Linked DNA regions of Oreochromis niloticus. The protein of the gene in region 1 interacts with the protein of each later gene in a pairwise test. Links are inferred from orthologs where the notes say so. Each region holds a gene or a part of one and is shown on either strand. Other genes may lie near its edges. The genes, in order: ppfia1, ppp2r5d, txlna and ptprsa.

The links.
Region 2: the proteins of ppfia1 (region 1) and ppp2r5d interact in binary tests that used the Homo sapiens proteins (3 or more experiments, as listed by UniProt). The link is inferred for Oreochromis niloticus from reciprocal best matches to the Homo sapiens genes PPFIA1 and PPP2R5D.
Region 3: the proteins of ppfia1 (region 1) and txlna interact in binary tests that used the Homo sapiens proteins (3 or more experiments, as listed by UniProt). The link is inferred for Oreochromis niloticus from reciprocal best matches to the Homo sapiens genes PPFIA1 and TXLNA.
Region 4: the proteins of ppfia1 (region 1) and ptprsa interact in a two-hybrid assay, tested with the Homo sapiens proteins (2 studies listed by BioGRID). The link is inferred for Oreochromis niloticus from reciprocal best matches to the Homo sapiens genes PPFIA1 and PTPRS.

The regions. Positions count from the first base shown.
Region 1 is NC_031965.2:3,504,126-3,511,497, reverse strand, and holds the start of ppfia1 (liprin-alpha-1), read right to left. Parts: upstream 3,004-7,372; 5' UTR 1,901-3,003; intron 413-1,900; coding exon 143-412; intron 1-142. UniProt on the Homo sapiens protein: May regulate the disassembly of focal adhesions. May localize receptor-like tyrosine phosphatases type 2A at specific sites on the plasma membrane, possibly regulating their interaction with the extracellular environment and their association with substrates.
Region 2 is NC_031978.2:2,409,110-2,416,874, reverse strand, and holds the start of ppp2r5d (serine/threonine-protein phosphatase 2A 56 kDa regulatory subunit delta isoform), read right to left. Parts: upstream 3,016-7,765; 5' UTR 2,340-3,015; coding exon 2,313-2,339; intron 1-2,312. UniProt on the Homo sapiens protein: The B regulatory subunit might modulate substrate selectivity and catalytic activity, and might also direct the localization of the catalytic enzyme to a particular subcellular compartment.
Region 3 is NC_031985.2:30,555,165-30,562,717, forward strand, and holds the start of txlna (alpha-taxilin), read right to left. Parts: upstream 3,003-7,553; 5' UTR 2,863-3,002; intron 2,253-2,862; 5' UTR 2,243-2,252; coding exon 2,053-2,242; intron 397-2,052; coding exon 139-396; intron 1-138. UniProt on the Homo sapiens protein: May be involved in intracellular vesicle traffic and potentially in calcium-dependent exocytosis in neuroendocrine cells.
Region 4 is NC_031980.2:33,544,382-33,552,045, reverse strand, and holds the start of ptprsa (receptor-type tyrosine-protein phosphatase S), read right to left. Parts: upstream 3,005-7,664; 5' UTR 2,696-3,004; intron 1-2,695. UniProt on the Homo sapiens protein: Cell surface receptor that binds to glycosaminoglycans, including chondroitin sulfate proteoglycans and heparan sulfate proteoglycan.

The DNA.
Region 1 (7,372 bases):
CACTCTCTGTACCATTTCTTCCAGTAAAGGCTTAGTCTCAGGCAGAAACTGTAGAATGGCAAACACTGAATTTCTTTAAGAATTAATCTACCTGGACTAAGAATAGGATTTTCCTTTAAGAAAAAAAGTCTCTCTCACTGACCTGTGGCAAAGCAGTGTTCAGCTGTCTCTGTAGTGAGTCCCTTTCATGGCTAACTTCATGCAGTTTGCTCTGGGTCAGGCCCAGATTCTCCTGAGTCTCTCTCAGGGTCTCAAGAAGACGATCTCGCTCTTCCAGCATAGACACCATCAACGACTCAAAGTGACCCTCTGAGTCAGATTGAAGTGGCGAACCAGAACCTCGACGGCCTCCTCCATTTCCACCACCAGGGCCTTCGGCCTCACTGATGGTGGGCATCACCTCGCACATCATCTGCAAAAATAAAGAGCAGGAGAAAACAGGAGAGACAAGGCCCTCCGTCACTGTCACGTCAATAAAGCAAAAAATTCACCCCTCATGGAGAAGTCATAACACCAATTACTAAGTGCTATGGATAATTTCCTTTTTACTTTCATTACTCTCTTTCGCTTATGATCCTAGCCAAGTTTTATAAAAACAAAGTTACAACTGTGTCATTTACATGTTTCAGAATGAGTATTTGGGCGTAGCTATGCAGGAAAGAAAGCTGTATATGCAATATTCATGCTAAGGCAAAGAGCTTGTGTTATGCAACAGAGGTCTGTGTGCTATTTTGTTAGGACATTACAGAGTCAAAAAGCATATTAACTTGTTAAAACTGAATACTAAAACTTCTTTGAAGAACACCAAAGAAAAACAAAACAAAACAAAAAAACCCCCCCACACAGATCCTATATCAACAAAATTATTAACACACTGAGATATAACATTAGACAGTGGGCAAGTCTCAAAGTCCTCATCAGGGGTAATTTAATCTCCATAGTTTAAATTAACCCTCACAGTAGCTTTTTGACTAACAAAAGGGACAACAAAGACCAAAATCAGTTGAATCTAGTTGACTTACTGTAATGGTTAACTAGTTTGTGCTGATAGTAGTCTATAGAAAAACAATTACGTTAACCCATTCTAGTTAAATTTACGAAAAAGCTGAGAAGGTCTGGGTAATAAAGCCGCTCTCCATATCAAGCGGCTCAAGTCCTGTAGACAGGCTCCCAGACAGACAAGCAGGAATCATGTGAGTTGGATTTAACCAACCTAAAAGGAACAACAACTTCCAATAGGGAACACGTAGCAGCTAGGTACACCAAAATCTCAAAAACACTTAACTGCACTTTCCTATAACTGAGGCGGACCATTCTTGATACATGCCAATTATTTAGAACAAATCTACCTACTAGACCCTTGCAAAGTGAAACGCAAAATCCAAACTAACGCTTTTTATTGAGGTCAAGCCCCTCTGGATAAACCATGTTTAAGAGGGGGATGGTCACATTGAGGATCTTTATAAAGGTAGTGACAGATGGCGGGGGGCACTACCTACCCTACCTACCTACCTACTGCACCATGCATCAAAAACTAAAGGATGACAAGTGGAAGTAGAGGACTTTGGCTGACTTGCAGAGGAGCGATTCTCGAAGCTTTTTCTTTTTTGCAGAGCGAAGATAAAGGCTAACAGGGTAGTAAATGAGGTATAGCAAACGATTGAGGGGGCCACCAATTGTCAAAGTAATTACAAATCTATTTAAAGTATTTTTGTATTTTGCATTTTGTAAATGATTATTTTTAATGAAGAACTAGGTCCCCATCAAGAGGATGGCTGGAAGCCGAAATGCATCGACGGTATAGTGCTTGCCCATTGTACTGCTATCAGATACGTCTGGGAGTTAGGTTAAACCCTACAATTGTTTTCTAAAGTTGTTTCGTGTTAAAGTTCTTTCTCACCTTCAAAGAATATTATTACTCCAAGTTCCTTCGTAAATCCAGGTTATGTTATGACGAAGTAAACGTCAACAAGTCCAGCTAACTCCAACTGTGGATTAGAGCCTTGTCAAGCTTTACAAGTATCCAGAGTCATTCAAAACAGAAATTCCATTCAGAGGCAGGGATGCATTAAGGCAGTGAAAGGGTCCTCTTGGTGGAAAAAAAAAAGATAATTTCAGAAAAGGCCTCAAAGCGAAACTCGCATAAAGTGAGCAGGGGGCAGTATTCCAAGTTTGACTGGCTAACTCTGCGCTAGCCAACAAGCACTAAGTAAGCTGGTGATTCGGTGATTGCATATCTGGATTCTGGAACGAAGCGTTCATTTTTGCATCTCAAAACGAACGACCATCCTCAGATATAAAGTTTGACTCATATATAACTAGTGAACATTAACTGATACAGTTAAGTGACGTGAAAAAAATAAGCAGCCGTAGTCGGTTTAGCTAATTTGAAACAGGACTCTTTGGCTTAAAGACAGTTTAAAGTCGACAACTAGCCAATGTTAGCTACTAGCCAGCTAGGAAGCTAATGTTTGCTGCTCTATTTTAGCTTAAAAACGTCAGGCAGTCATTGAAGCATTAACATTATTTATTATAAAAGTACATAACATGATAAAATCTATCATAAAAGTTTCTTACACTATCTAAAATGCTAAAATCCTGAAATGAGTCTTAAAAGCTCTGTTAAAAATTATTCATTTATCAAGTAGCGTTAGCATCAGCTAACGTTAGCTTCCCGTCGATTCCGTGGAGTCGCGTCACCACATCACGGCACCAGCTAGGAAACTTCCAGCTAACATTCAACGTTAGCAGCGTTTCAGTCTGTTTACGAAATCCAGACCGCTTATAAAAACATATATTCCCTTTGTTTCCGCCCGATTTCCCGGCGTTCTGTCAGTATTTCCACCAAAAAGGTCCGTTGGTCCGGTCCTTCCCTGTCGCCACTGCCTGCCAGCTTCGGCAGTCGGGACAGCCAATGGTGGGCTAAGTGTCGCTTGCACTTAGCCTGCCAGTCTACGGGAAGAGAGCGCTTCCCAGGTTGGCAACAGGAGGAAGTGGAGAAGTAGCAGTACGTTCAGTTCCTGTAGGGATATAAGCTTACACTCGTCGTGTATTGAAAAGACAGAGACAAAGCACGACTTTTCCATCAACAATACTGTTATTTCTTTACATTTACAGGTTACAATATCTCGGATGTATGTCTGTGAAGGTTCTCGGATGTCTCACCGTTCGGCTAATATCAAACAGGCTATTTTACCATAGTTTGTATTCTGATATGTTTTAAATACACATGTAACTTACATTTAACATTTAATATTGTATTTTTGTCTATGTTTTGCTTGTAGAACCAATAATGATGATAATAATAATAATAATAATAATAAATAATAATAATAATATAACGTAACTATGATTAAGAGGAACATTTAAGAGTTTGATTTAAAAGGCCCCGAGGTCATCTTAACCGAATTCAGCCATTATAATTTAAAATGTAACTTTTGGAAGAAGGTATCGAAGAGCCAAACGTTTTTGTTTTTTTTCCAAATAATTTCTTTAGTTCACTCTTTGGCCCACATTCAGTCGTTACTGATAAACCAAGCTCTCGCAATAAAGAACATTTACGCCCTCTTGTGACGGATTAACCCAACAAGTTTTGTATTCATTTATTTTGTCAATTTTGATGTGATATTTTGAGAATTTATTTTTTTACAGAAGCTCACTAGAAAATGTTTGAGTTATAACTTTAATGCATTTTAATAAAACTTTAATGCAATTTAATTTTAATGAACAATTTGACAGGTCTGAGGTTTAAAATATGGCAGTGAGTCCTTTTGTGATGTATAGTTTGACAGGTAAATGCAAGACAGACTACGTGTGTGAATAAGAGGGAGACAGGTGAAACTGACAAAAAGACATGAGGCTTAATTGGAGTTGGCAGAGCTGGAGATGTAGAGATTTTCATTGCACACCACAGAATCAATCTGTTCCATTCCAGGTCTGTACAAGGTTGGAATGGGGTACAAGAACATCAGTAAGGTGTTCTTGGTGAGGTGACAACTCAAGACCCTCGGTTTTCCAGTTGCAATTCCTTCATTATCAGTATCTCTTCTTCAAGATGTATCAACTCCAGTTGGAGTAGTATGACATGCCTTGTAGTCACCATTATTTAAAATAAACACAGGAAGCACAAATAAAAAGTAAAGATTGGCCAACAATGCTATATACTCCCTACCTCCACCCAGTGTTTTGGTGGCGGTATTGCAGAGCCTCTTGGGCATTAGAGTCAGAAACATGTTAGAAACAGGGTGGCTGTGTATTGGAGGATCATGGCTTAGGGGGAGAGGCAGCACACTGGAAATGAACTGGGAGTGTGAAGACATGCTGAGGTGGAGATGGGGTAGTGGTGGCTGTGGCTGTAGCAGTGGCAGCAGACCTGGGAGGGGGGCAGATAATGAATCAAACCCAATTAAAAAAGTGATGCAGTTCATTTGACCACTTGTGTCCCTTATAGGCTGAGAACTCCTTATAGTCCAAGATGGTCCAGAGACCCCTCCAGTCTCTGCTGACACTGTACAGGTAAAGCTGGTTCTCCATCCTCCTTCTGTCGGTGTTGTAGATGTTTTCAAAGTGTGGGTGACTGCTGGTTCCTTGTGTACTAAAAGTATATATGGGACTTTTAATACACAAGGAACTATTCCCAAACAAAGAAAATTAATGGATGGACATTTAAATCCAGATAGTTATCATCAAGTCACTTCACAAATTCAGGTAAAACAGGGCCATAAAGCAAGGACAAGAGGACAGTGTCATCAGAGAACTTGACTATAAATCTGTTCTCATAAGAAGTCCTGCAGCTGTTTGTGTACATAATAAAAATAAGTTGTGACAGAGCACATCACTGGGGTGAATCAGAGCTCGACACAATCCTGCAGGATTTGTCCACTAACGAGGACCTGTTGGACCCTTTGAGTAAGAACATTTAAAATCGGCATCGGGAACTGGTCTGGGAGGCCAGTCTCTCCCTCAGAATATGAGGCTGTATCTTATTACAAGCAGAGGAGAAGTCAGCAAACAGAAGTCATGCATGAGAACTGGGTTTTTCGAGGGGCTTCTAAAAGCACAACAAAAATTAAATTGTGGTTTTTTTTTTTTTAAAAAGAGTTTTACTTGACTGATAAGCAAATTGCAAAGAATCAAGTTTGCTATTATTGGAGGACACAATAATACTTTTTAAGATCTTTTCAAAGGTTTTCATTACAATTGATGTAATTGCAACTGCTCTGAAATCAGCTAATTCATTCAATATTTAGGAATAGGTATGATAGTGGATGTCTTCCAAATTGTGGGGATTTGTCCACTACCGATGCACCACTGGAAAAGTTAGGGTTAGAACCTGCTAAGCTAGTCAGTAGCAATGACTGCAAGATTTGGTACTGATCCAATAAATACAGGGCAGATACCAATACCGATACCATGCTTTTTAATAATAAAGGTGGATACATCATCAAATGGCTTAATCTGAATTAATTAGTTAAAACCCAGAACAGAAACAATAAAATGATCAAGTGTGTAGGACATGTACTTGTAGTTTAAATATGGTAATCATGCAGTATCCCTTTCACAATTAACACAAAAGGGTAGTTATATTCAATCAAATCTGAAGCATATTATATTTGGTATATTTGTTTCAATTCCACTAAATGTTTTTATTCAAATAACATGTTTCAGTGTGAGCATGCTTACTTGCTTGCCTAGTGCTTCTGAGTCACGTGATAGTACAACATCACAGCACAAGAGGGGAGAGGAGGAGCAAACTGTGGCTCTTCTGTGCTATGATACTTGAATGCAGTGGCAGACCAGACTGCCTCTATGATGACCACAGCGGTACATACAGAAAACCCCCCCAGAAACTATCAATCTGATTACACTTGTATTGATCAATACAATACAATACAACTTTATTTGTATAGCACATTTAAAACCAGAGGTAGCCAAAGTGCTTCACAAAATCCAATAAAACAGTAGCAAAGTACAAAGCAGATAAGCTAGCAGGTGGGAGGCATTGATTAACCAAGCATACAAGTACGCAGATAAGCAAGTAAGACTTAAAGATAAAATCGATAAAACAATATAAGCAAAAGAGAGGAAAAGGGGAGGGCAAGAAGGTACACTTAAAAGGCATGCTCTAGGAAGCCGGGAAGGCTAAACTAAAAAGATGGGTTTTCAATTGAGACTTGAAGACTTGAGACAGACACGCGAATAGCATGAGGGAGGAAGCGAAGTGAAGCGAAGGCACGGTCACCTCTGGTTTTCAGCCGTGACCTAGGTTGCACCAAGAGCAATTGGTCAGACGATGTCAGTGTTCTACTGGGAATATACACGCTGAGGAGCTCAATAAGGTAGCTAGGTGCGATATTATTTATGATTTTATAGGTAAGCAGTAGAATTTTGAAATCAATGCGGTATTTAATTGGAAGCCAATGGAGGCCAGTGAGAATTGGGGTGATAGACTCAAACCTTACAGTACCAGTTAGAAGGCAATCCACGGCATTTTGGACAAGTTGCAATCTGAAGGGCAGAATGAAGCCCAGTGTATAGGGAGTTGCAGTAGTCTAACCTGGATGTGACAAAGGCATGGATAAGCTTTTCTAGATTTTCATGTGGTAAGTATGGCTTGGCCTTAGAAATGAAATGAAGCTGATAGAAACAAGATTTAATAACAGAGGACACATGCTTGTCAAACATAAAGGAGCCATCCAGGTAAACACCCAAATTACTTGCGGAATCGGAAAGAAAATCAGCGAAGGGCCCGAGGACACCAGTTAGATGGGCTCTAGGGGTATTACTGTCAAAGATTACAATTTCCGTTTTCTTGTCATTTAGCATAAGGGAATTGCTCAGCAGCCAGTCTTTAACCTCACTTATACAATCAAAGAAGCGAAGCATCGATGAAGTATCATCCTCAGTCTATTCAAAATAAATTTGAATGTCATCCACGAAGCAATGATAAGAGAGTTTGTACTTTTCAATAATACGACCAAGGGGTAACATATATAGAGAAAACACCATAGGACCCAGCACAGACCCCTGAGGAACACTACAGGTAACAGGGGCAATGGAAGAGGAGTAGATACCCATGTTGACAGAGAAGGACTTCTCCGATAAGTAGGATTTAAACCAACTAAGGGCCATACCCATAATGCCAACCAGATGTTCAAGCCTCATTAAGAGGATATTATGGTCCACCAGATCAAAAGTAGAGGACAGGTCCAACAAAACTAAGACCGCGGGGCACCCAGAGTCAGTAATTAAAAGAAGATCATTGAAGACCCTCAAGAGTGCCGTTTCTGTACTATGGTGCAGTGTAAACCCAGATTGGAATTTATCCCAGATGTTATTCGCATTTAGATAGGTCTGAAGTTGTGATAGGACT
Region 2 (7,765 bases), on another chromosome or scaffold:
TACGTAACAAGTCACGTGACGTGACGCTGCGGCTGTGATTGGTTCGGCTCTGCACTACTTAATTTGGATTGGCTGTTCTTTTTTTTTTTTTCTTTTTTTTTTTTTTTAAGAGGACAAGAGAGATGAGGCCTATCGCAATAGTTTAATTTTTCTATCGAGAAAAAGTTATTTCGCAATACATATCGTTATCGTTTTATCGCCCAGCTCTAAATGCTGGCCAATCAGAGTTTCCGGTGTGTACGCTAAGACTCGATGAACACCGACCAGCGTTTCTCCTCCGAGTGAACCTGAGCAGCAGCACGGGCATCGCACTTTCACAGTTCTTATTTTGACTTTTTGATCCTAATTCAGGTTCCAGGGCGAGTTACTCGTCTCACTGTGCCGTGTTTCGATCTGTTTTTATGACTTTCAGTCTTTTTACGTCTTACTGTATGGAGCGCACGTATCACAGGTCATCAGGGAGGTGGGAACTTTAGCACACTGACAGTGAAATCACAACAGCTCCTCTATATTTTTACTTTAGTTTTCCAACTTCACAAAATCATTCTAGATAGACTTTCACAATAAAGGCTGCGTGAGCTCAAAGCTCCCTCTGCTCTTTGAGGTGTGCTCCCACAGGTGAACCCTCTCACCTGCTGAGCGATCCTTCATTCTCATTCTAACATATTTAACACGCGATCTCAGCCGCGTTTATCACAACAGCCATGTGCGCATCGCCACAGCGTGAGGACGTCTGCAGGCGTGTCACCAGCACACGGGATCAAACCCGAAGACAGGAAATCAGCACCGAGCCAAACCCTTTCAGCTTAAAAGTAGCTGATCTCTGCCAAAGTTTGATTTATTATCATCATCTTTTTAAATGATTTTCCATTTTTTAGTCTTCTAATATTTATTTATTTTTTTAAAAAAGTATTTTTATTTTTCATTAGGTTTTGTGTATTTTAGAGTTTTTATTTGTTTTTATATATTTACATGTTTCTGATTTTGAAGCTGTATATTTATGTTTTGGATGTCAAATTCTGATTTTGATCTTCTATGTTTCCAATTGTTTTATGGGGGTTTTTCCTTATAAATATATTTATATTTTTATACATACACTTTTCTGTTTTCATCTTTTCTTTTTTTTACTTTAAATGTTAATTTTATATGTTTTAGCTTTAATTTTTCTGTTTTTTGTTTTAACTGAATTTACTCATTTTGGGGTCAGATGTTATTTTTGATCTCATTTTGAAACTTTATTAATATTTTTAGGTTTAATTTAAGTCTTGTTTTTTGCTGTATTTTGCAGTTCTCTCATTTTTGCAAAGAATATTTTTTTAAAGATATTTAAATGGAATAAAAATATTTGATCGTTTAAACGCGTTTTAAATACTCGTTGCTGTGTTTGTGTTTTTATTTTATTCTTTAATACTTTTCTCGCTCATGTTTAAAATGTATTAATTTTTTTGTGTGATTTATTGAGCGAGTCGTTTTCATTACATAAATGTGACTTCAAACCTGCTTTTGTAAAATTATTTTCAGTTTAAAGTCGCCGAAAAATACAATTTCGGACATCGGAAACAGCCGATTAATCAATTACTCACAGAGAGAAGATCATCAATAATCAATGACTGTGGCCGTTACTTATCAGCAGTTTTTCTCTTTTGGCTTTCTTGCTGCTCCGTTCAAGTTTACAGACTAAACAAATAATCGATAACAATCAGCAGAACCGAACATAAGTGCTGGGTTATAAACTGATCAGTTATCTGATCATTACGATCAATGATTGATCAGCTCTGAGCGCTGCATCATTAAACAAATCGCTTTAATCCGGTATTTCTCTGGGTGTGTGAGGTGAGCTCAGACTGCGCTGTGAGCCTAGGAATCACAGCATCCAGCGGGACATCTACCGGTCATCCTGTAGTCTCAGTTAACGGCTAACCGCTTCTAGCGCCTCAGACCCTCTCCTTCAGCCGAGCCCTGCATCAATAATTCAGGCACAGTCAGCGACTCTTTCCGGAGCTCCGGCAACAGAGCACGGCTAATCACGGTGGCCAGCTACACGCTAATATCCCTGCTAAGTGTGCGCTCAAACACTCAGCAGGTGTGCGGTTAAACGAAGCGTCTCCGCGGCGGGCGCCGAGCACAGACTCGCGGCTAGCCGTTAGCTTAGCGGTCCTCTGCTAGCTGGGCCCGAGCTAACAGCTAGCAGGTGAGCTAGCCATTAGCTCGGTGAAATAAAACGTCTGAAGTCTCCAGCAGCAGAAAAAACACCCGCCACACCGAATCTCAGTGGAAAAATGCCCCGGGCACGCCAGTGACGCGGATCTTACCTTTTCTTTCTTGGTTTTGTTCGGCATCTTGACCGCGTTGCGGGGCTTTTCCACGGAGATTCCCTGATGTTCCTCCCCGGGACTCAGACGCTGTCACTCGGTCTGTCTCAGCTCCCTGCGACCTTTCCCGAGCCGCCCAATCCGATTGGCTGCCGGCCTGGACGTCTGCCTAGTGATACGTGGAGTGATTTTTCTGATTGGCTGAGTTTGAGTATAACGGCGAGGGTGAGGCTGCAGGAAGGTGAGGAAGAACTGGAGTCTTCCCCAGCAACAAAACACCTTCAACCTGATGATACCGAGCCCCGCGGACCGGAGCGAGCCAGAGAATCGCCAGAACCACCCGAGTCCCCCGCCTGTCCCCGATGCAGCGGCAGCAACATGTTATAATCACACAGACAGGAGCCCGAAGCTCAAAGTTCCAGCTGCACCCACTCACAGAATCAGAACCCAAGAACACATCTCAGCACCTGAAATCATACTTTTGATTCTTCAGCATGAATTTGTTGCAGCAACATGCCTAACCGGGGGAAGACCTCAGGGGAGACCCCGAACCCCCTCTTCTGGTCTGGGAGCGCCTCAAATTCCACAGGTGGACCCAGAGGTGTCGCTGAGGAGAAGATCTGGAGTCCCTGCTCAACCTGCTGCCACCGTCATCAGCGGAGGATGATGGATGATGGATGATGGGTCGATGGATGGAGGCAGCAACATGTTTGAATTAAGCAGCTCCAGATGTTTTCAGCTGTGTGCTGCAGGCAGTTTTACTTGTAATATTCCTTCTTTAAAACAAAAAAAACAAACAAAAAAAAAACTTATGTCATTTATTCATTTTTTCATTTCTTTCATTTTCATGTTTTCCAAGTTTGGGTGTTCTTTTTTATTTTACATTTTAAATTTATTATTTTTTCATCTCCATATTTTTCAAGTATTAGAGTCATTCCATGAAAATGGCACAATTTGAGTCCCTCTCGTCTCTTATGGTGTATTTCATCTATTGGGTCACCAAACTTTCTATTTAAACAGCTTTACATATATATTGAAATGTACCCTTTAATACAGTGTAAAAAAATTGAACTAATTTTTATCTTTTTATGGGAAATAATACAGTTTTTTCATTTGACACCACCTATTTTGTCATGTCCCTCATGGCCTTGATGAAAGTTTACTTTGAAAATACCAAATAAAAATATTTAAAAAGTCAATAAATTTTGGTATCAACCTAAACATCTATTTGTGCTTTTTTGCTGTTAATATTTGTTTTTTTTCAAATTTAATTGTTAATTATTCATTAAAATCACAATTATTCCTGTACCTGACTAACCCCTCAACCCCGTTACATGAATGATCCCACCGCCATAAATACAATGGTGTGACCCAGAATTCCATATACATCAGGAAGTGACATCACTGAAGTCTTTTGGACAACAGGACCACAGAGACAGGCAAGTTGCTCCATTCTTTTCCTTTATTTTAGTCATTTATCTTGTGATATTGTGGTCGTCAACCTCAATGACTCAACACTGTAACATGAAAAAAAGATAGAAAACTATTACTTATGAAAAAGTTTTTTGTTAGTTCATGAATATATGGTGATTTTGAATTTCATGCATGCCATGTGCTCTCTGTCTGGTATTCACTACATTGAGCAGCGGGCAGTTTGTGCAAAAATCTCAACCCAGTCACACTCAACCCTGTCATGTTTTTGATTGTAACGGGGTTGTGAGATTGTGATGGGGTTGAGATTTTAATACTTTGGTTGTTAAGTTATCCAATTATTTAAATTAATTATTATTATATTCAATCACCATTCTTATACTGCATGCATGCTGAATGTGATTCATGTTCCATGTTAAGGATGCGAGTAAGATGGCACCAACAACAGCAGCAGAAAGGCAAAGGAAGTATCGTGAACGCCTTAAAGCTGATCCTGAAAGAAGGGAGAGAAACCTGCAGAGTGAGCGTGAGAGATGGAGGCAACTGTCAAGGTGACAGTCAAGAAATCCGTGGAGGGCACACAAGAGGACCTCGTTGAGCTCTTCCAGAGCTTTGTAAAGAAATTTAAAATGCATGACTTTAATATCAAGCAGCAGTATGCCTTCTGCCGTGAGCTGAAGAACAACATGTCAGGGGAGGAGACTTTGATACATGTTGACTTCTCAGAAAACTACAGCTGTAAATACAGTTCTCAAATTCAGGTGGTCCACTTTGGGGCTTCACATCAGCAGGCCACCCTTCATACTGGTGTGTTGTATGTTGGTGGACTCTCAGAGCCTCTGTGCTTTAGCACCATCTCCCCCAGTAGACATAAAGGCCCTCCAGCAATATGGCAGCACCTAAATCCTGTGCTAGATTACCTTCAAGGCCAACATCCACAAGTGTCTGTGCTGCACTTTTTAAGTGACGGACCCTGTACGCGATACAAACAACGAAGAAACTTCTACCTTTTCACTACAGAACTGGACAGAAGAGGATTCAAGGCTGGTTCTTGGAATTGTTTCGAGGCTAGTCATGGAAAAGGAGCACCAGATGGTGTTGGGGGAGCCTTAAAAAGAGCAGCTGACATGATGGTAGCAAAGGGGCATGACATCCCAGATGCAGAAGAGTTATTCAGGGCCTTTTCTGAAACAAACACAAGTGTGAAACTGTTCTTTGTGAAAAGTGAAGATGTTGAGGAAGCAATGGAGAAAATGCCAAAGCAGATACCAGCTGTTCCTGGAACCATGAGAATTCACCAGGTCGTTACTGTAGCTCCAGGAGAACGGATGGTTCGTGATGTAAGCTGCATGTGCACAACACGGAAGCAGTTTAACTGCAAGTGCTTCAACACCAAGTGTTTCACTTTTGGCCAGAAGGTAGAAACAGCTGTATCACAGACAGGTAGTGGGGGGAATCCAGAAAAAGAAATCCAGTGGGAAAGTCCAGAGCTGATTGGTAAATGGTGTATTCTCAGATATGACGATGATTTGTATCCAGGCATCAGTCTAAACATACAAACAATACAAGTCCAGGTCAAATGCATGCATCATGTTGGCCGCATCAGGATGATATCCTCTGGTACCTGTCTGATGATGTCCTTGAACTCATTCCACCCCCACGGGCTGTGACAAGGCGCCATGTGGAAGTCTTGAAAGAGGTGTGGAACCGACTCACAAGATGAATTCATGAAACAAAAGGCACATTCATGCATATATACAGACACACACACTGATGCAGGCACACACATGCAAAAACACTCTGACATGGACACAGACACAGGCACTGATACAGACAGACACACTGAAATCGTTAACTGATTATTATTGTTATTGGTTCAACCAGTTCATCAAGTTTAATTGTATGTTATCGGAGCAAGGATGAGGTGACTTTTGGCACACCTGATGAGGCTCTCTTATGCCTAGACACACACACACCCACCCACTTTCACTCACACACACACACACACACACACACACACACGCATTATGTTACATTTGAGCAATTCACTTTACAATGTTTGTTAGTTGTTAATATGCTGTTGTGGTTGTTTTTACTTTAGATTAATAAAACTTAATTCTACTGCAATTTGTATCTGGTGTCCTTCCTATGGTTACAAAGTGAGATATAATGCTAATGGAAAGCCCTATACATTGAATTTAAGAGTAAACAACTGTTTATATGTAAAGCTGTCTCTTCAACCCTGCTAGTCTCAACCCCATCACACCTACATTTTCATATATTATTTTCTTAAAATGTTGAAAAAATAATTTAATGTTTGGGGATTTCTGTCTAAAATACTGAGTGCTATCATACGATCATTGATTTTGATTACAATTCTTACTTAAACTAAATTTTTGATGAAAAATGACAAGATTGCTTTCACTCATTAGTTACATTTCAGGATTTAAGAGAGTAAAAATGTGTGATTTTATGTCATTTTTCTGTGTAAAATTATTGAATTAGTATGGGGACATCTAATTACTGTAAACATATTGATTTCTTTAGAAATACATTTTATGATAATAACAGAGAGCCTCCAAAGTGTCCATAACGGGATTGAAGAATTGCAGTCACTACATCTTGAAAATATGATCAATAATAAAAGAAAACTAATGCCTGAGATGGGAAAATGCCTTTTTCTGATAGTTAAATATATCCTTAATGATGTGGGATATACATATAAATAATACATTTTGGTAAAAAATGTGAAAACATCCAAGTCCAATTTTAACCATTTTCGTGGAATGACTCATTAACATTTATACAACAAGCTCTTCTTAAACACAGAACATTAGAAACTACATTTCATCATACAAAGAAAACTTGGTTTATGGATTCAAATTAGCGATCAAAGGAATTTTATTCACGCGTTCATACTGCTGTTCATCTCTCCCACAGATGTGAATTCATATTTTCATCTCAACAAGCTTCTCTGAACCTGCACATCTGCTTCAGCAACCAATCAGATCGCCGATGAGGACAGATGTTCCTCCAGATGTTTTCAGTTAGCATCAGACTGACAGAGCTCGCAGACTAATTTCAACTTCTTATTTTTAATTTATGTTGTTTAGAGACAGGAAAAAAAAAAACTAACAAAAGCAGTGGTCCTTCACTTCAACCAAACTTTATTTGTCCAGCACAGAACAAATAGCTGACAGACCATTGGCCAATCAGCCGATCGCAGGTTTGATCATCAAAACAACATCAAAGAATTTAATAAAAAAATAAAAATACAAAACTGATTTTTTATATTCAGGCAAACAATGCAAAGAATAAATAAATCATTAAAAACATAGAGAAACATCAAAATCATAGAAAAGTTTTTTAAGATTAACCAGAAACTTGAAAGGGAAAAAAATCAAATGCATTAAAGCCCCTTTTTGAGCTTATAAACGAGCAAATCGAATGACCACAAAACATTAAAATGGTAAACTAACATTTAGAGAGAAAAAAGTGGAAAATTCACATTTTAATTTGGAATAAAAATCATTCAAATATGTTTAAAATTACTACAAACAAAAAGTAAAACATAGTTGTGACTCTTTAAAAACATAATAATTTACTGGCTTTGACCATAATTGACTTCATCGTGTTTTTCTGGCATGCACGCGCACTTCTGTACAGGTTCCCATCCTCTTACCTTACTCCAAGCAGAAAGAGCCAGGATCCAGGACACACCTGAAAACCATCAGGCGTGACATATACCTGTTACACCAATCAGAAATAAGATGTGCAGTGCGATTGTGAGACACGTGGAGCTGCAGCTTAAACACAGTCTGTGTGGGAAGAAAGTTTTTAGACTTTTACTGAAGCAAAACTTGTAACAGCACAGACGTGAAACAAACATACTCCACATTACAAACATATACATGTTACTAATGCATCATAATTATTGATGTGTACATTTCTTACATCCAGCAGCTGTTCATAACTTATACTCGGTGGTTATCTGCACTCCAAGTAGTTTAGAGTATAAACCA
Region 3 (7,553 bases), on another chromosome or scaffold:
AGTCATAAATTTGCATTTTTAGTTGATTACTCACAATCTTTCCACTTGGATCACTCCTTGTGCAGGGCGCTCACGCTAATTTCTCCCACTTATTCCTATAAATCTGGCCAAAACACTGAACACACTTCCCCCTCTTACCTAGACCCTTCACTTTTTTCTTCTCCTGAGTTTTCTTCTGCTGCTTTCCCACACCGCTGTCACCACCATTGACTTTGCTTTCCTCTGGCTTGTCATCTTCCCTCTCATTGGTCAGGCCATTGAGCTCTGGGCTGTGTGACTGGCCGTTAGCTAAGGCGCTGGCGTCGTCTGAAATGCTTTCCCGACAGTAGGTGCTAAGGATGTCCTCCAGCTGCCGGCTCAGCTCCTCTGCCATGTCACACTGAGACAACGGAGCCTCTGCAGTTACACAGAATGGAGGGGAAAAAAATGACTCTAGCTGCTTTTCTTCTTCTAAAGTCAAATATGTTGCAGTTTGGTTTTTCAGTTCATAATAAAAAAAAAATTTTTAAAAACAGACAATGTAGAATTCGACAAATATAACGAGAGAAATATGAAGCTCACTCCCTACAAGACCATGTCAGAAATACTCCTTTAAAACAAAAAAAAAACCAAAAAAAAAACACCTAGATTATCAGCTCAGCAACAGTTTAGAAGTTTAGACAGTTTATTTACAATATCTTGAAAATAAATGAGAATCTTTAATTGATTTGTGATTTTGAGATGCTTTTAGGCACCGTCCTCAACCACGACGCACATCTGAAGGCCTGTGACTGGCGTTATCATCACAGATGATCACATGGTCAGCGTTTCTACTTCCTAACTGTCACTTTGGCCATGCTGGATCTCACTTAGCAAATTAAAGGCTTAAGAATAAGAAAAATGAAACAACTAATAATAATAACAACAGCAAGCAAACTATTCTAAGCAGTGTAGAGTCTGCAAACATTAGTGGTGCCAGCATTATAATATGGAGCCGGAACCTGCTATTAGTAAATTCTGCCAGTAGACTATCATTGTCCGTATCTGCTAACACTGCTTATGATGCGTGCATCTAGCATGGCACTGAAACTGATGCAGAAGCACTTCATAGCTGGAGCTTGACAACTGAGATGCAGAAAATGAAAGAGGCACTGAGCTTTTTGATTGTATACTTTGTCATACTGCTGCTAAATGCTGTTTGTCTGCAGAGGGTCTATTGTAGGGTCTACCTTACAATATAAAGTACCTTGAGGCGACTGTTGTTTTTCACAGCAGTATTTGAATTTATCAGTGAGGGGATAACTTTTCCTCAGTATAAAAAAAATAATTATCCTAGCATCAATATCAGGACTCACAAATGTCAGAAAATTCCTGGAGGGAGACTGCTGAAACTATCGGAATGGACGTGAAGGAATGTACACTAAGAGGGAAAACTTCCCTGAAAAAAAATTGACCACAGCAACAAGCGAGGACCCAGGAGGCACTGCATGTGAAACACCGGGACAAGGCCCTATGTTAATTAACAAATAATGCATCAGCACCAGCATAAATGCACTTACATAGGTTACATCTTAGGCTCTACAAAGATTCCCCACAGAAGTCTAAAGCAGGCCGGAGAGTGCAACCCCCCCACAGCTTGTAGTGGGAAGGACACACTAACTAAAGCACTGGATCATATGTTGCTATTAGCAAGCTTCCTTGCTTCAAATCAGAATAAGAACTATCACCACCAACTCCCAGGCCAATTAGGTAGACAGCAGATGAATAATTTTCAAAAACGAAAGATTTTAGAGCAGGAATTTCTAAACTACAACAGTCAACTGAAAAAAAATGTGTATGTGTGCCTCCTCCTCTCACAGGGACTAAACAGGTACATGTACCCTTCTGGCTGGCAGGTTAATCAGTGAAATAGAGAAAAAAGCTCTACTCCTACATCTTGGTTGCTTGGTAGACATACGCATGCACAACTGGGAAACAAGATGACAAACTTGAGTCACAAAGACTGATGATAGGAAGGTTTTAGCCTACTATATAATCTAGTCCAGCTGGGATTGACATGAATTCAAAGTTTACCTCCCCCTGCCCCCTCCTCGCCCTGTGGCGGTGTATCCGTCTGTGGTGTCTGTGGTTCAGACTCTTTGGGGCTGTTGCTTTCCAAGCTGTCCTTTGCAGCTGCAGGTGACTCTGTCCCTGCTGCTGCAGCTGTGGGTGGAGCATTCTCAGCAGCCTGAGTGGTGGACTCTTCGGTATCTTGTTTTTTCATCTCTTGTTACCTGTTACAAGGAGAAAAACCTGCCATGGTTAGCTCAGAGGGATGGAATGTAATAACAGCAAGTAGACTTATTTATTGAGCAACACTTAATCGTCAGCGCAAATGAGTCATAGAACATTAAACGTAATAAAGTTTCTCTTTCCTAGCCTAATAAAGCCTCGGCTGTATGGGGACACAAACAAAGTGGCAGCAGCCGAACCACAAGCGAAATAAACCTGTAGTTACTCCTGCTAGCTGTGCTCCTGCGCAGTGCAGTAACGTTTCCTGATGGACTTGTTTTTAAGTTTTGGTTTTAAGACAAGCTCCGCACGATTGGTTTGGTGAAACCTGAACTTTAGCCTGGAAATTCATATCCATTTCTATCCTCCAAACATTAAAGAGTAACTTTTTTTAGCTGCTTTCTTTTCTACCGTGCCCTGTCCCCATTAGCTTTCACTTTGCGTTAGCTAGCAGAAGCCGCCAGAAGCAGCTAAACTAGCTTACACAACTGCCAGGTAGCCACTGTGAGCTCGTATATATCGGGCACAAACTACTAAAACAAGAAGGCACACTACACTGCTACTTGCTTATAAATGATACATGTTGTTTACAGGTAATATACAACTGTTTACCTTTAGAGTCAAGGAGGAAATTGCTAATGTGTCTGTAGGTTTCCTTAACAGCGTGAGACAGAAAAAAAAAAACCTCACTTCCGGTAATAACTTTGGGTTCTTCTTCTTCTTTGAGGTTTATTGGCGCTCGGCAAACAACTTGTTGGTGCTTTATCGCCACACGCTGATCAGGAGGGTCAATTACAACGTTACAAAGCAGCCCCTCAGTCAAATTAACTAATGCTGAAATTAACTAATGCTTAAATATGGCGTGATAACACATTTACTGATAACATTTTCATCGTGAGCTTTTCAATAAATTGAGTTATTTCTTCCTATATTTCTTATAGCATAGCATGTGTTCTATTGTTTTCTCCTATCCACAGTTGTAACTCTTGCCTGTTTTATGTTTCCCTATTTTAAACAGTGCACGTCAGGGGTGTCAAACATAAGGTCCAGGATTAGCCGGACAAAGACCCACTGGGTGCATTTGGAAAATGTGATGAAAGACATGAATTTTTGGACTTATAAATATAATTTAATACATTTCGCAGCTTTTCTTACCGATAAAGATCTTCCTCATGGCTATTTTAACTACAGCAAATTAGTTAAATAACAGGTATTGACCATAGAAATTGTAATTTTTTTTTTTTACAAAGGGTCCACAAAAAAGGTCATGTTCTGTGAATTACCAGAAACTTTCTGTTTCTGGACCATCTGAGCTACAACTGATGTTTTTTGTAATTTTATACATTTACTTCTTATAATTTAAGCCCAAAGAGTCATACTGAAAGACTGATTACAGTAGCATCTCTTTATCACTGAAAAACAGATATTCAGATACACATATTATTTTTATTAAGATGTCCAATTGATTAAATAGTAGTTCAATTCGTGTACAGAAGGGGGATTTTCACTGGTTTGTCCCACTTAAGATGAAAATAGAATGAGTTTGACATTCCTGGTGTACGGTTTAGTTCAGGGTGTAAAACGCTTTTACAGATGTGTCCAAAAAGCAATTTCTGATGTTTCTATAAGTTTTCTATGTGTAGTACCTTTGCTTATAATTTTAAATAGAGGTGTCAACATGATTCATGAAGGGGTTATATATAAAATAAAGAAATGAACTGTATCTTTAAATCTTTAAATTCATTATAACCAATCCAGTCCTTTTTGGTCACAGTGTTTGCTACTCTCTTTGCCAGATCTCTCTGGAAAATACATTTTAATGTCAGTCAGATGCTTTACCAAGCAAAGCCACTTTGCCAAAAACTAATTGCAGCTTCTACCTTGTGACAGGAATGTCCTCTCGGGCTCAAAATGACTTGATGTCATTCTGCCAAACATGTGTTTGCCACATGTTTGGCAGAGCATAGGCCAACATATCATTTTAAACCAACTTTATTGAAAGTTGCATTGGGATCAAACACCACTGTGTACTTTTTGGGAGTAACAGACAGACTGAACTTAGATCAAAACTCACCATATATTAATAGATTTGTTCAATCATTTTCCACCCAGTTTTTACAATAAAACCCCAGCTGATCTGCTGAAGGTTTCTTCCTGTTAAAAGGGAGTTTTTACTTCCCACTGTCACCACGTTGTCTGACTGTTTAGGTTTTCTTTCACTTTTTTTTAAAAATTTTACCACCAATCACTTTTTGGCACAACTGGTTCCATCCTGCTAACTTTATTTATCCCAACTTGCATCTGTATTGTCATCTTTTCCTCCTCCCGCTGATTTTGCAGCCTTTCTTTCAGTTTTTGCTCATTTCTGTCTCCCGCTGCAGCTAATTGCTTAATCAATTAAAATGCTTTTTGTTTCTATGTTTGAAAACCTTGTCTGACATTTTGTTTCTTTTTATATCATAATGGGCTGGTACACATAAATGACTGAAAGCCCCATCATACTGCACCATAATCCTGCAATGAGAAATTCTGGATTTTTTACTGACCACAATCATTTGTATAAATATAACTGCGGTAAATTTAAGTATGTTCCTGCCTGTGCTGTATGTGCAAATCCTTTTAATGCTAATGATGTGTTTGATGTTTAACTGATCTGTTTCCATTTGTGCTGCTTTCTGTCACACTGCCCTACCAAGCTTGTTCATTTTCATTCTCTTTTCTCCTTCCTCCATCAGCATGTGTGGTGTTGGTGTTGATACAGTAGCTTCTTCCTGAAATTCCTACTTCATGAGTTGTTGGGATCTACAGGATTCCAAGTATTTTTTATTCAAATAAAAAGAAAGAAAGACATAGACTGTATATTTAAAAAAATCCATATGTTAGTATGACCTTGTTAGCCATTTCTGTGTCCAAACTGAGTTCAACTGAGTTTGAAGTTAGTACAACATCTTTAGATGGAAAGTAGCGAGCTATGCTCTGACTGAAGGATTTCTAAAAACCTGAAACATACAGCTCTGCTTTCACTCTAGATGGAAAACTAAACAGCAGCAATGTTTGCATGAAAGCTGGACTACCTGGTGGCTACTACAGAGCTCTAGTCCCATTGTCATGGTTAACAGAGCAATATAAACAGCACAGTTAATGGTTGAGAGTCCCTGATGGGCAGATAAATGCAACGGCAGGAAAAAGATGATGAAAATGGACCGAATGTAAAAGACCAGCCTCTGAGTGAGTCTTTCCTGAAGACTTCAAATATTTACCATTTGACAAACTGTCAACCCATGGGTTGTAGCATCTTAAGGCCTAAAAAACCACCTACAATAGGTGAAGAGTGTCTGAAAGTCATGTATACCTTACACAGGACCTGAGGGATCCATCTGCTGTTCACTGAAGCCTCATCAGAAATGGTCTGAGTGGAAGAATGGCTTCCAAAAAGCCAGTCTTAAGGAGGCTGAGCCAAATTACACAAGAACTGGACTGTAAAGTCAGTGGCAACAGGTGTGCTGGAGCAATTAATCCAAATTTTAATTTATTTTATGTGAGCAGAGCACAACAGTAAGTGCCTACAGCCATCTATAAAACATGGTTGAGGAAGAAAAACTGGCGAAATTCTGAATGCAGAAAATATGATTTTGATCCAGCATGCAGTCTCCATCTGGAAAGTGTCTGACTGGCAACAGCTTTATTTCTCCGCATGAGAATAATCCCAAACACACTACCAATGCAGTAAAAGCATACGAGCATAGAAGAGAGAGGGAAAAAAGTCAAAACACTGTTGAACACGATCAGTCATGACTGGCCTGTCATTGTGCGATCAGCTTGACAGGTAAAAGAACAATAGCTTTGAATGTCCTTCAGTAAGTCTGGAGAACGACTCCTGAAGAAAAATTTCCTTTGAGACATTAAAAGAAAGTTTGTCTACGAGAGTTCTGTGTTTAATACAACTGGTGACACCCAATCCTGAACATCAGGCTTGTAAGAATTATACCAACTGTTTTTGCCTTCTATGGCATATTTACATTAATGTTTCCACATTTCAATAATTATAAATCTAAACAAATTATGTTTCACATTAAATATCACCGTCAACATTCCAACATGAAAGAACACTGAGGAAGAAAAACTCATTAAAGGGTTGCAACATAACTTTATTGGATTTGTACAATATTTCCACTGAACAGTTTTTTTTTAACTCTATGATTTCTTTACATTTTTTATATTGTTGCCATTTCCTGTATGCATCTTTTCTTCATGTTCATGTTTGTGTGTCATGTTCAGTTTTGAAGTGTACTAGTTTCTCGTCGCTCATTCATACCGTCGGTAAAAGTCAAGTCGAGTCACAGTTTAAAGATGGGTCGTTTGGAGCAAATGAAAAACCATAAACAAGAATAGAGAAAATAAATACGTGTAAAAGAAATGAGAGGACCAGAGCAGAAGCACGACTGGTCAGTGATGGCATATGAAAAGTATTATTACAAACACGAAGCATTGTAAACATTTGTAGCGTAGACGTTGCTTTAGATTTTGATAAAGACACCAACAGCTCCTAGGACGGAAGACACGTCAGATTTGTGATTTTTAGTGATTTCTGTTCAATCCCCGATAGATTACAAGATTCCTGATCACGCAGCCTGACGAGGAACTTTAAACACATTTATCCAAAAATATAGCCCAGAATATCCTGATCAGGAAAAAGATCAAGAAAAGCAAAAACAAAAAAGAGAAGCTTGTATCCTCACCACCTATTTTTTTTTTTTTTTTTCGTGTGACATGTTCTAATGAGGCTTTTTCTCCACTTCTTAGAAGTGATTAGAATTACATCTGAATCCCTGTCAATGTATCAGAACATACATATAGTTTAAATTATAATACTTTTAATGTAAATCATTGTACTATTTCTGAATCCCAGATTTATTTAAACTTCTTTTGTTTTTATCTTAGAAAAATGTCAAGTAGTAGCCTGTGTTCGCTCCACCCAGTGGAAGGAGTGTCACCTGTGAGAGCTGCTCTTCCTGTAGGTGGGCCTTTGCCTCTCGGGGTGGCTGATTTTCTTTTTTTTTGGACAATGTTTTATTGCAGTCTTCTGGATTAATCTGCACATTTTTCCAACTCCTTAAAGAGCGCCTGAATTTAAGAGAAAAGAAAACTCAGGAGTGAGAGAGCATGCCATCTAGTGCGGCTTCTAATGAAGAGAGGCAAGGTTTAAACGGCCTGAAGGAATCTGTCAGTCATTCTGACCGGGTCGACACAAGCCAATCACATAAAGTCATACAAACTAAACATCAAGGAAATTTTTCAGCCTT
Region 4 (7,664 bases), on another chromosome or scaffold:
ACCTTGCACCTCAGCCACCCAAGCAACTAAGATCTTGAACGAGAGGAGTATCAAGACATCCAGCAACACTATTATTTGTTAAAGAACAGTCCTCACTGACTTTATTCAGATCTTTGATTCTTGATCTGTATGTTAGAATGACCTCTTTTGCATGTCTAACATGGGTATTTGACTGCTCCATGAACACACAGTGGATGCTGAAGTACTGCATAAAATGTGTTCTCCAATTAAGTATGAAGGAAAGGCTGTTCTTCCACAGGCCTGTCAGACAGGAAAGACTGTGCTCTGCGATAGTGATCATTGGGTACCACTGCATCTTAATATTAAGAAGAGGACAGAAACATAGCGACACATTGTTCTAAAATATGGATCTGAATTAGAAATTAGACTGAAATATTAAAATCATAAAAATAATAGCCAAATAAATCCCAAGGGTGCTGTTCTGCCTAAAAAAAGATGAGGGAATACAAATCTGTATGTGTGCATGTCTTGCTCTGTGTGCTAAGCTGCATCACATCATTTGTTTCATCATTACGAAATCAGCTCTGCATATTTCTAAATCTTCCTTGCAGAAATCAAACTCTTGACTGTTACTGGAAAAAAAAAGATGTGCATGAAATGTGAAAAATGTAAAACTCGAGAGGCATGTGGTTGGTTGCTTGAATAAATTTGTGGTAGCATAAGTCAGAAGATAATTTAGGAAGTATCGTGGGCTATTTTCAGTGGGGGGCGAGGGGTGTATGCTTCTTCTTCTTCAGCCCACTGGTGGCTGTTAACCTGACTTGTTCTGATGTTCCTGGGCATTGTGTTTTGCCCGTGTGGAGGATGGGGCGAGGGGGGCGGGAGTCACTCCAAATTTCTCATGTGACGGAGCATAACAGGGAATTGTAATACACAGCAACATCATAAATTTGATTACATTACATAGCACCGCGAGCCTGTGAGCCATTTCCAGGCACCATAAAAAAGCTATAACTAAGTTACCACTGGTACAGAGAAAAATGAATAAAGCCATTTTCTTTTAACAACCCGGGCGCGGGCGAGATATTGTTCTCTCCTCTGGCTTTTATGAGCTTTGCAGACCCGCGATGCGCTCATTGCGATCGAAACAAAGAGATGGAACAAGATGGGAAATGCACAACTTCGTGAAAATGATAGACTAAATTGTTTTGTGGCAAATATGGCAAAACCAAACTCCAAATAAAAACACGCTGTTAGAAATAAGAAATCGCCTAAAAAGACTATCTCTGCTCTCATGAATAATAATAAGAATGAATCCGAATGATACCTGATGTGTTTGCTTTGCTTTTACAAAAATATTAAACTATGAGAGGAATCATCCAAATCATATGAAACTTAAAAAAATGGGTACTCAGTTTCTAGTCCGTGTCCGGGGGACTGTTTAATTTAGAAAATCTATTTAAGAAAATATATATATATGTATATATGTGTGTGTGTGTGTGTGTGTGTGTGTGTAAAACCAGCTTTTTTATTTTTATATATGTCTTCAGAGGCTATACACAAGGTCTTTCACGTCAAATGTCAGCGGGAGCGACAGGATCTACAGACGGGAGCAAATTCCAATCGTTTCGGAGTTTCCAGCTTCAGCAAGGACGTTACTGGCAGTTAGACAAAGTCAGTGTCATTGCTGTGCTGACTCCACCTCGGTGGCTCTGTGGAAAGCTCGAGTGGCGCACCTCGAAATGAGCCCAAATACGTTCTACAAGCCAGAGGCAACGTGATGCGCAAAAGCAAAAGCCCGTCCAGGGGCGCAGACCAAACCCCGCTCTCAAAGTCCAACATTTACAGCTCAGGCTTGAATATTGATCAAACCAGAGATCCACAGAGAGAAAGGGGAAAGAGATACAGGGGACAGAAATGATCGAAAATAACATTTTTACGGTCGATGCCTACGAGAAGAGCTGGATGTGTCCTGGTCTGAGGGCATGCTTATATAGCCGGATTCTAACGAAACGCCTGTCACGATTGACTTGGTCAATGAAACACCCCCCTGTGGAGATGCACTTGCTAGATGGAGAACCCCCTCCCAACACACACACACACACACACACACACACACGAGAGAGAAAGACAGAAAGAGAGAGAGCGAGAGAGACACACCCCCGCCCGAAAAAAACAGATGATTAAGAAATATGTAAAATGTTCCAAAGAAGGTCTATGGTGCGTAAAGAGGAGTAAAAGAAGACCTTAAAGAAATCTTGCTTCGCCTTTCTGCTGCAGAACCACCCAGGCTTCTTTTTTCATTTTGTAATTAAGTGAGTGGGAAAACAGAACAGAAAAGGGGAGCAGTGCCTGTTGCGACCGTCGTTCGTGAACGCATCCCCGTTATTCAAGCGGCAGAGATGCTCTGCCACTATAGCAGCACCTTTGCGAGGGCAGAGTCGAATCTCCCGCTGAGTCCGGGACTTTCGAGCATCTCGTTCCGTCGCTAAGCCCCGTTTCAGCTTGAACGTGCTTTCTTGCAGTATTCTGAAACGCTTTCTTTGGGGACTTGCCTTAGTCTCTGTGCAGGTGTTAAGACGACAGAAGAGATCTGTGCGCTCCCGGACCTCATGCCTGATGCTTCCCCCCCTTTCTTTTACACACAGATAAAACCATGACATAAAAACCAAGGTCTAGTGGAAGAAAAGTAGCCGAACACTGTTCAGGAAAACAGGCTGAGAAGTCTGCCTACCTTTTGTCGGCGTCGGAGTTCCAGCTTTTATTTTTTTTCTCTCTCTCTCTCGCTCTCTCTCAGCTCATAAACCCATCACATCTTCATGTTTAAAACAAACAATAATCCCCGGGTTTGTGTTAAATCTGTGCGTCCCCGCGGCAGGTCCAGTGAGGAACCGTACACGGGTTCCCCTGCCGGCTTAAGTAGTGATTTTAAAATCCACCCCAAGAGCGCAGGATGCTCAGGACGCGCCTGGGTACGGCAGGAGGAGTCGTTCCCTCAGCAGCAGCCGCCGTGCGCACTTGGAGAAACCAGAGCTCTGTCCGTGCAGAGAAGCTGAGGGAATGATGTCATGCGTCCGGCCCTCCCTCTCCAGCCACCCCTCAACTGAAGGCTCTCTCTATCTTCTCTTCCCCCTCCTCCCATTGCCCCCTTCTTTTATAAAGCTACTTTAACATTCTAATTTTATTATCACTACCTTTGTTGGTGTGTTTATTTAATTAATATTTTACTCATTGGCGACTATACATGAACACTGCTTTAAAAAAAAGGAAAAATCTAAATTTTTACAATGACCTATTTTGAGGAGAAGTTATTTTAACTCAAGATAATTCAGAATTATATTACAGCTTTTCCATGTATTCCCTAAACCCTTTCCTTGAGCAGTGGAGAAAAAAACGGGACTTTATGCGTAAGAAGAATTTGTTTTAGAATGCAGGTTTTTGCAGTGCTCCACTCGCTATGATGAAGTCATACAGTTTTCCCCCGCCTTACTAAAGGTTTCATCCAGTAGCATCACCAGGATCCCTTTACCCGCGATAAGAGGGAAGGCAAGTTAGCATGAAACAGGCCAATGCCTACAGCGCACTGTGTCATGGCAACCGCCCCCTACTTGGTGCAGCAGGGGTATCTTAAAGATAAAGCATCATCTCTTCGTATCAGACTTAAAGCATAAGCTCGTGTGTGTATCAAATATTACACTGCGAATGCAAACAATCCATCTCACTGGACTGTTATTTACCCATTTATTTAAACGAGACTGTGGATAAATTGTGTTCTAGTACACACATGTTTTTAAACTTCTAAAACACAGTTAAGAATAAGTTATCTCCATATGATATGAATTTCCTCTCTAGAAGATGTAAGGGCAAAATACAAAACTGCAACTACAAGAGCAAGGTGTGACTTAAGAAATGTATTATACTGACTTAAGAAATGTATTATACATAAGCCAGTGTGTGATTCATTAATATTATAAAATTATTTTTGTTTGGATTTACTGCAAAACCTTCACAATAGGTAGGAAGACAATGAGGTATTTTCTGCACTTTGCTGCTGACTGCTAAACCCCCTCAGAAAAAGAACAAAAAACAGAATGATAAGGCCCGTGAGGGCATTTAGTTAAGGGTTTTAGTTAATCAGATGTTTTAAGTGACAAGTCTGCCTTCCTCAACTTTGTCTAGTGCCACAGATGCTCTTACAGGGACAACCTTAAATTTAGCCTCCTGGAGCCCAGCCACTCATACTTCTCCTAATGCATGGAGTTGCTCCTTGAAGGAGGCACTTAGCCTCAAGTGGCCAAGAAATGGCAGTTGATGGACACTTGAAAACACAGGTTTTGTGTTCAATACATTGCTGCCTTCTATCAGACCATCTTTCCTATCATGCTGTTTTCTGTATTGTGGTGATAGACACACTCTCGCTTGTTGTCACCAGTGGATTTTATATATATATATTTTGTTTCAGCACTCAGGAGAGTAGTTGGAAAACCCAAGAAAACCTGAAGAACCATGAGCGCTCTTCTTGCCAGTTGATGAGTACCAGTCTGTTTGATGCTAAGGGCTAATTCTTGACCTTTTTGATTCCCCCTAGCTACATGTTCACAACATACTAATAAGTACACTGAAGATGTTTTAACATTCTCAGTTTCTCAGAAAAAGGAGAATAGGAAACCACTGATAACAGAATTATTGCCCTCTTTTCAAGTGTATGTATATCAGTTATACAATTATGTTTATGGCCTGTTAAACTTTTATTATAAAGAATAAGAAAGATTGTTTCCATCTGTTAATACACCTGTATACAATGCAAATAAAATATGAAAGAGGACTGAAATGCATAGCTATCCAAAGCCAGGAAAAATTTGGGCATTCATCCTCCTTCAGTGCACTTCATCCTCACCAAAGACTTACTCCGATCCCCATTTTTCAGTCTACAAAGGACAAAAGATGCAATGCATTATTCCCTGTGGTGATCAAACCGCTGCTGGATACACTGCATCAAGCCAGATAGAAGTAGAAATACACAGCTACATGTTGTAGCTGTGTACTGTGACAGTGTCGAAAAATATGTGGAACAACTGCTATGTGGACTATTCTCATTTGCTTTGTTGTCAGTCTCTTAGAAGACAAAGAAGTTCTTTCTAGTGAAGTGAAACTGAGTGTTTAACACAATGAGAACTGTCCACTTGGGCCACTGTCTGCACTTCTCATGCTGCTTTCTTGAACTTTAATTATTTTTTAACTCTGTTTTCCTCTTTGGGGTGAACAATTGTCACTCAATTCCTGCTTTTCAGTGACCCAGCAGTCTTCCTACAATTACCGTCACCACGGTCTGGCTATGCACCATTGTTTTTCTTAGGGTTTTTTTCTTTTGGTGGACTGCATGTAATCACATTTCCATACCTGGCACATCCAAGATTCTTCTCCACACACTACAGACTTATAGCAGTAGTTTGGCTCATTTCTGTACAGGGGGGAAAAAGTGTCCTTCTCTGGGATTGCACCATCCCTCTCAAACACCTGCCCTCGCTGCTACACCTCAAATGCAACCTCTCTGCTCAGCCTGCCTTCTGTTGCATTCTAGTCTTTTTACTACTGGTCTTTAAGACTGCAGTAAGAGCCTCTACACCTGTACAAGTGAACAATGAAGTTCCTTTGGCTTTCAGTGGGCTCAGAGTATCCCTAATAGTTAGAAACTACTGTGAAAACTACAATGTTTCCTAATTTGAACATTATATACATCTGCTGTTCAGTGGAAGTTCAATCAATGCTTATAGTTTACAACTGCATAATTAATTAATAATTATAATAATAATAAGCGCTCTGATCTTGTAACAATGTACATGCTTTTTCATCCCTTATACAAGCCGCACATTAACCGACTTCACAGATAAAATGTAAAGTTGGGTTCTTACACTTCTGCCCAGCCCATGGTGTGCATGGGGGCCACACTTTTATTTTGGTGTTCTTTCTGAGTTGTGTTCTAGGCAACACATGTTGTGTAAAAATACCACCTACAGCTGGTATATAATACCGACTGATTATGTGTTTCTCAGACCATGATATGTTGACTAGAGTTGGTGCGCGTTGGTGTTTGCTTCTGTGCTTGAAGAATAATCAAATAGCATTATTTCACCTGAAGACAGAGTGCTTTCTTCAGGACTGTCCGGACCATTTAATATCAAACATAATTTGCACCTGGATCCTCTGTATGCACCCTGTGTTTGCTGCTGGGTGCTACAAGAAATTACATACCGTTTGGTATCTCAGTTCCTCGACCTGATGGATTCATTGTACTCACAGCCACTCGTTTGGATTTTACTGTCTATTCAAAATATTTAAAGTAGAACAAAAAGTGACCGGTTGCCTAGGCAAAGCACATTAACTGTCTTATTGAGCTTATGTGATATAAATTTTAACAGTCATAAAATTAGCATGGTTTTGTAAAGACTAGACTAGAGAGTGTGCATGCACACGTGCACTTAAGGCCTTTTAAAGATGGCAGTCCTCAACTAATTTCTGCACCATCTGGCTAACATAGAGGCAAGGAAAAAAAAATCAATCAATCCATCAGTAAATAAATAAAAAAAATATAATTTGTGGGCCCAGTGGGGATCAGACTCCTAATCTAGGAAGTATGGAAGCCTTTCTCTACCCGCTTAGCTGGACATGACCGTGTGACCTTTAAGCCAAGCTAAAGCATTTAAGTTCCTCGGAATGATCATTTGATCGTCTTTTTCTTATCTTTGCTTTTACTTTAGATAATTGGACGTTCCTTTGATAACATCTGCTTGCACGCCTGCTCACACCAGACACTGTGAGCCAAAAGCCAATGGGGCCAATGGGGCAAGCACTTGGAAGTGAGCTGATGATGATCCAAATATACAGCATGCATTTGAATATTCATGTCTTGGTGACTCAGTTTGCTTTGTTCTCACATGATTCTCCTGCTCTTCACTGCAGTAAAGAAGTGTATCATGAAATAAGAAAAGAAGCAAAATTTGCAAATGCAGATATCTGTTGAGGCCGCTACTAAAACTTAATTTGCTATGTTTCCGTGCGTTCAATTTACCTCGGCGAGACCAATCTTTAAAGCAGTTAAGGGAATATTCTCCTGGCATACTGTCTGTTGTAACCTTGCCATGTCTTTGAGGTGGATGAGTCGGAGAGAACCACAGTAATAATAAAAAAAAAATCAGCTTCTACAAAGTATTAATAGACATCAGTCACACCACTGTGTCTCAGCAACAGTAGCTTTATAAGGGTTGCATCATCAGCCATGAAAAGACTATAGCTGAATTCTATTTGGGTTTTAATATAAATGTTTCTCTCAGTTAAAAGAGCAGAATTTTGCCTCGAGTCAATTAACTTTTCACTCTTTAAAGTATTAAAAAAAGACCATAACATCAGTTTTACACTATGTGGCAAACTCCAATCTGCTTTGAGTTCAATGGAATAATGTTACCTAAACAGCAGAAGGAGCTCATAACAAAATGAAATTATCCCAGTGAAACTGATATTCACTGTCATACAACCAAACTAAATAACAGAATTTTCTGTTGCTATTTATCCGAGGAAGGCTGAAACAGTTCCGGACACTTGATAGGTGGCATTGTTGGGGGACAGGTGAGTCTCCCTGCATCCTCATAAAAGGATTCTTCTTTTTTGTCTTTCTCTATTACTGTCAGCTTTCCTTCTGTCTAAAT